Linked DNA regions of Tribolium castaneum. The protein of the gene in region 1 binds, or shares a complex with, the protein of each later gene. Links are inferred from orthologs where the notes say so. Each region holds a gene or a part of one and is shown on either strand. Other genes may lie near its edges.

Region 1 (3,018 bases):
GTACGCTACAATCTTGACCCATTTGAAAAATGTGATGACAAGACTTTATGGAAGGCTTTAGAAAACGTGAGTTTTGTAAAACCGCAATATATCACTGATTTTTTTTGTTTAGGTCGAACTCAAAAATGCCATAGACAGCTTAGACCAAAGAGTGAGCGAGGGAGGTTCCAATTTTAGTGCCGGCCAACGCCAGCTTGTCTGTCTTGCCAGAGCTATAGTCAGGAATAACAAAGTGCTGGTTCTGGATGAAGCAACCGCTAATGTTGATCCGGCAACTGATGCTCTGATCCAAACCAGTATACGTAAAAATTTCAAAGAGTGTACAGTCCTAACTATAGCACATCGATTGAATACTATAATGGACTCGGACAAGGTTTTGGTGATGGATGCAGGAGAAGCGGTGGAGTTTGACCACCCACACCGGCTTTTACAAAATCAGGAAGGTCGTTTTAGTCGCATGCTTCGCGAAACGGGGAAAAATTTAGAGACCCAGCTGAAAGAAGTTGCAAAAAATGACTACGAGAACAAATTCGGACCAATAAGTACCAGTGATGAACAAAATGATAATAAGGAAGAATAGAAGATTTATTTTTTTAAAACTTAATAAATAATTGAGACGCTTTAAACTACTTAAAGAATGTTACTTAACATTGAGATTCTAACAGTGTATTTATTTTGAGTTTTTTGTTGATTTTTATCAAATATATTACATATATTTTATATCAATTGGACGTCTCCTTTTTTCACCAAATCAGTCACGCTGTTATATGACAGTATCATTTGCGAACCCACAGTTAAATCAGCGACTTCATCATCGTCACGGCTTGGGTCTATAACAACCCCTTCTACGGCAGTTTTAGCTTTCAAAAACACAAAACTGTTCATATTTGGCGCAACTATGTGACTTTTCCAGTCTTCGAATGGCAAGCCCGGGTAAAAATTAGTCGCATTTTCGAAATGCTGTTCTAAGTCTATAAAAACAAAAAAAAATAAGAAAACAAAACAAAAACAGTAACTAAAAAAATAAAATAGAAAAAAAAAACAAAATATAAAACCTTGTTTGTATTTAATCGCAAATTGTTGTTCGGCTTCCGTTAAATACAACTCTTCTTCTCTCTCGCCCCTCTGTTCCTCTTCTTTTAAAATATGCAAAACATAAGTTTCGATTTTTTCCAATCTGTGACGAAGGTAACTCGCCACCAAAAAACGAATCCTATCGACTTCCAATTGATGAATTCCTTTTTTAAAGTCGGTGGATGGTAAAGTCTCTAAATTTTTTTCCATGTATGATATTTGTCCCAGCACGCAATCGACAACTTCTTGTTTATGAGGGAGGATCTCAGGTGCGAATTTCTCATTAACCCACACTTCCTCCATCATTTCGATTAACTCGGCTGAAGTTAATTGCACGTTGTCATCGTCGTCGTCCTGAATCGTGTTTTCTAAATCTTCCAATTCCAAATCCATTACAAAATAACACAAAACACAACTGTGAACACTAATCAGCTGAAGCGCGGGAAAACGTGCTCAATTGCCAACCGTGAAACACCAAAACCCACTTTAACACGTAGTATTATTGGTTATCTAGCTAAGGGGCACCAAATAATGTATTCTCCACCATTATTTTGCGTTTCCGAATTTATCGACTTGTCTTTTGAAAAATTCCACTGGCGTGGTTATTTTTAAGAACTAAGGTTCGTCCTTGTAGTAAATTCAAACAATGTAGGCCATCGCCATTTGTTCAGATGTCACATTTAATTGTTAACTTTTAGCGCTTTTAATGAGTATTTTTAATGAGCGTGAAACCACATCCATACTCCCATCAATTGCATAAAAAATCACAAAACAAATTGTTCCGGTCGATTGTATGTAAATTACAAATAAACAGATATTACCATTCGCGTATCTAATAAATTTTAAAGATATAGACTTTCTCAGGGGCGTTGCACAATCTTCGCGATCCTTGTGGAGAACTTCTCGAATATTTTTTCCGCAAAAACTTGTTAATGAAAATTAAGTAGGTGAATAACTGAAATGGTTGCTTGCAAATCTTCAATTAAATTGCTGGAGCGTAACGTTTGTACGTCTTTTAAATACTGATGGCATTTAAGTTAGATAAATTACACAAATTTCGTCACTTTATGTAAGAAATTCGTACCAATTCTAGGCAATCGTGCCAATAATTTTTAGTATGAGGAAGTTTTTTCCATTAAATAACAAATTTTCCTTAGCAGTTTTCTTCATTCCGGTTTCCATTCGATTTATCTCTGGTACTTTCAGAATAAATAAGTCATTACGTGTCTGGTAGCCATCTGTTTGTTGTCATCCTACATGAGATTCATCTTATAATCATAACACTTGAAAGTGAACGGTGTTAAGATTATTGTCTGGAAAATTAAGCAAATATTTGCTCAGATCGATCAATAAAAGATCCACTTAAGGCAAGTCAACAATTGCTCGCAGCAGGGGGACTCTATAATGCAACAAGATAATTGATCGTACTTAACACTGATTTATGTAACAATTGTAATTCTTTCAATCTGTACCACGATCTTCTCATTTTTATTACATTTCCCGAGGCAATTTGTCGGTTTTGAAATTTATGTTGTCCAAAGAAGCAATGACAAAACTGGCAGAAGCCATAAAAAGGAGCAAATTGATGACCTCATGAACCATCACATCAGTCGATGAACTTTTTTTTCTTCGACAAACTCTCACTATCCATTGCTTCACCCTCGATACTACAGTTAGTTTAACAGTTTCTTAAATAATAATAATTAATTTTTTCCTTTCATAATTGATGGTTTATTATCGAACGTTTGCTAATCGATCAATTTCGAAATTGCTAATTTGCGACGCTGTCCCTTGTTGCCTTAGATAAATAGATCCAAAACGTTGTTTTCTTTAAAATTTCTTCACTTGTTGCATCACGCATCATAGATGGAATTTTCAGTTAAAAAGTGAATTTCGTCACATTTGTGCAGATATTTAAAAAAGTGAGTGTCCAGATCGGTGCCT
Region 2 (3,835 bases), on another chromosome or scaffold:
TTAGGAACAACCAATTGTTTATTACTTTTCTTAAAAATTCAATTTCAAATTTTGCATTCACGCATTTATTTATAAGCGAACTGATTACGTTCGGAAAAATCTTAATTTCTCACTTATCAAAAAACTCAGAACTCAGTATTTTCGACCATAGTTGGAAATTATTTGCCGTGTTGGAAGGAAATTTCGCACAATAAGTGAGTTTTTGAACTCAAAATAAAGTAATTCTTGACGTAATTATATAAATGTTTGGGTTAAAATGCAAAAAAAAAATTTGCTTGTGGACTTTGCATTAGTTCTCAGTTCCACTACTCTACAATTTGTAAGAGTGACTGGTATTTTTCTGTTGTGATTCATTCAGTTTCTTGCAATTTGTGACCAACTACCTCTAGAATTAATCTTTGGTTTTCAGTCCTTAATCTTCGACTTGGAATATTTATTATCTTGCGAAACAGATAAGCACTTCCTCTTGTAAAACTCAAACAAAATATCGTCAAACGAGGTTAAAAACTTGCTCAATTTTGTATGAAAATCTCAATTACTCACGCTAATAAGCACGTGCATCATTAATAGCTATTTGTAATGTATAATTCATGAAAAACATGCTACGACTACACCAATGAGATCACTGATAAATGGTAATTAGAAATGTACAGTCGTGACCGAGAATTTTGGCCAGGCCGGCAACTAATGGCCAAAACTTCCTAGCGGTACTGTACCCACATGTGACCCAAAATTGTCTAATTTTTCGATCACGTCTTAAGGCACACCGTTAGGAAAAGTGGACTTTCGTCCCTTGTTATTGTCAACAACACGTGTGAACGCCCCTTTAGCCAGCGATAAAAAATCGCCGATCGTTGACATTTCCAGTGACAATCAGGCGTCGCGATGGCCCTTTGTCGTCATAATAATCGCACAAAATCAATAATGAAGCGATTAAATCGTGATGAAGTCCCCTCGTGGTGCCAGTACCCACCTTTTCACCATTTCTGAAGCCGTCTTAAACAGTTTGGCTGCGATTGTCGTATTCGAAACGCATAAAAATATCAATCACTGGTGTCGTTGCTTCACTAAAAACATCACTAGAGCCGCCGATTCGTGCATGTTTATCACTGGTGGCACACGCATTCACTAGGCACGGCCGTCTTCGTTGCACTGGCGGACGCTTTCACGGAGGTTTCGCACCGTTTGCGATGAAAGCACGACTTCCAAGGGGAAAAACACGCACGGTGATGCTTTTCCACGGACACTCTCCGCACTTTTACCGATAACAATGGCGCGGTGGATGGATGTCGATCGTGGGGGACGTCGACGGTGGGATGTAAACATTGGGCGAGTGCTGACATCTGCTGGGACCGGAAGTGAAAAAGCGAAATGACAGACGACAGTGGCGGGGTGCACGATTTTGGCGAATTTTTGAATGTCTTTATTGACGATTCATCGACCAAATCTATTATCACCTTGTCAGCGTAAATGCGAAATGGCCTAATGCAAAAAAGGCGGTGGGAAATTGCAATGGTCAGGGCCGGCTTTCAGGAGTACCAACGCTACCAACATGGTGTCGGAATACATTTTCTCTTTGTAATTTTACTGAACTAATAAATTAATAAATAAATTAAATTAATCAGACTTTAGGGTGTAACAATAGACATTATAAAAATTTGGAAGATTTAGATCAAGATCAAGAAAAACTTGTTACCAGTGAAAACTATTTTATTTCACTTTAAAGTGACAAAAAAACATCGCGGCTAGACATAATTTTAATCTACAGGGGTGCCAAAGAAAGTCTTTCTTTGGCATCTTTTTTTTAATAATATGCTCCAAGGAGCGATAATTTAGTACTAAAAAGAAACACTCTGTAGAGTTATTATTTACCGAGAATGACGAGAATTTATTACGATAATGAAGTTTACAAATCGAGCCGTATCCGAGCTTTTTTCGCGTATACTCACAGATTTAACTAAGATAAAAGCAAAAATGAACAAAATTGCTTCTGAAATGTGGTATTTTTCCCTATTTTTAATATTTCTATCGGGTTAAAGCATTTTTCGTCTATAGAATTTCTCTAAATTTTGCAAAACAAGGCCAACAAATATCAAATTCACGTTTGAAATACGATATTGTTTTAAACGATCGGTTTCAAAAGAAAATATAAATAAATGTAAAGGCCCTGATAAGGTTTTTGCTAAAGTGTTAATTGGCACTATTTACTCACCCTGAAAATTAAAATTGTGCATGTTCATTTTTTGGCTGCTGGTAATTTTATTATTTGAAAAAAATATTGGGGCCTTTTTTTCAAAATTCTGAAAAATTTAGCTGACTAATCATAGGCAAGGCCAAAGTGGTGAAATTCTCACATTACCTATTCAAAAATTAAGTCTTAGGCAGTTCATAGTCAACCATTCTTATCACATCGTTATCAATATCAATGTCACAAGAAGAAAGTAATACAAGAAAAACAAACAACAAAAAACATGGCAAACTTACAACTTCATTTTCTTAATTAGCATGTTATTATCCCCAGAGTCACTAAAACACCACTCAATTTCGCAATACACTTTAACTAAAACTTCAGTGGAAACTTCCTTCGGTTCCATTTTTCTCTCGTCCATTTTCCGGCCGTAAAGTCACCACTAAATATCAGAAGACAAGTCACGACAACCACCGAATCGCGCAGAATATTATAGGAAAGAGTGGAAAGATCCATTCTTGTCATGACTTTGCGTCGACAAGTCAAAACAAAGACGAGCACAACATTTTCGCAGATTTTGCTCTGTGGAGGCGAAATCTGGCAGGTTTTGTGGCACTTCCGACTAAGCGATTGGTTCGAGGATGAATCAGCGCCCAACATCCACCAATCTGACTGGTTTCAACTTGTTCAAAATACGCCAGTGGTGCGGCCTAGATCTGGGCGGAGATGATGCAATTTGAGGCTGGAGGGGCGCAGAAGTGCAAAAATTTTTTCACCCCCCTCGTCAAAAAAAAATCACATAAAAGAATTTTTTTGAATCGTAAATTTAAAATCGAAACAACGTCCGGTTCAGTTTCTTTCATGTTGGGTCAGATTTATTTATTTTTATTATTTTTACCCAAATTATTCAAATGCCATTTTTTTGGAACTGTCAAAGTGACACTGACAATTTTTGAGCTAATTCAGTGATTTTTTTGATTTTTTTTTGCTGAATTTTTGCGACATTATTGCGTTTTTTAGCAAAAAATGAGCCAATTATTATTAACAAAGGACAGAAGCGGCAAATTAAACCAAGTTCATAACTTGAAAACGTTCGAAATAAATAAAGAATTTCAAATTTGAATTTTTAAACCAGTTTTAGTGAATTTGTGGCACCAAACGTCACCACTAATGTTGGCAGCTTTGGCGCAAAGTTCCCGCCAATTTACTTCCGTGTAACAACAACGCTTTATTCGCCACAAAATCGGTGTTTTATACGAAAATGGAAGGTTTCGATGATCCAGGAGTGTTTTACAGTGATAATTTCACGGTTGAGGACAACCAAAGCGACCCCCAAATCAATTTACAAGGTGTTAAGAAAAAGTTCAAGGAGTTCATCCGACAATACCACACCGACAATTTCAGCTACAAATACAGGTCTGTTTCCAATTTATTGCCAAAAATCACTGAAACCCCCTTATAGGGACACCCTGAAGCGCAATTACAACCTGCGCCAATATTACCTGGAAGTCAACATTGAAGATGTTGGCGCTTTTGACGAGACGTTGGCCGACAAACTATACAAACACCCGTCGGAACACTTGGTTATATTTGAGGAAGCGGCCAAGGAAGTGGCCGACGAACTCACAGCCCCACGTCCCGAAGGAG

What was found.
Region 2: Sld5 (region 1) and Mcm5 share a complex: the UniProt entries of both Homo sapiens proteins name them as parts of the CMG helicase complex. The link is inferred for Tribolium castaneum from reciprocal best matches to the Homo sapiens genes GINS4 and MCM5.

What each region holds. Positions count from the first base shown.
Region 1 is NC_087398.1:5,431,602-5,434,619, reverse strand, and holds Sld5 (DNA replication complex GINS protein SLD5), read right to left. Parts: upstream 1,540-3,018; 5' UTR 1,468-1,539; coding exon 1,056-1,467; intron 972-1,055; coding exon 718-971; 3' UTR 651-717; downstream 1-650. Other genes in the region: ATP-binding cassette sub-family C member 4, read left to right, coding at 1-66, 113-580. UniProt on the Homo sapiens protein: Required for correct functioning of the GINS complex, a complex that plays an essential role in the initiation of DNA replication, and progression of DNA replication forks.
Region 2 is NC_087396.1:20,945,208-20,949,042, forward strand, and holds part of Mcm5 (DNA replication licensing factor Mcm5), read left to right. Parts: intron 1-973; coding exon of another isoform or gene 974-984; exon of another isoform or gene 985-1,354; intron 1,355-2,484; coding exon of another isoform or gene 2,485-2,609; exon of another isoform or gene 2,610-2,920; intron 2,921-3,323; 5' UTR 3,324-3,449; coding exon 3,450-3,604; intron 3,605-3,650; coding exon 3,651-3,835. Other genes in the region: Pli (protein pellino), read right to left, coding at 2,485-2,609. UniProt on the Homo sapiens protein: Acts as a component of the MCM2-7 complex (MCM complex) which is the replicative helicase essential for 'once per cell cycle' DNA replication initiation and elongation in eukaryotic cells.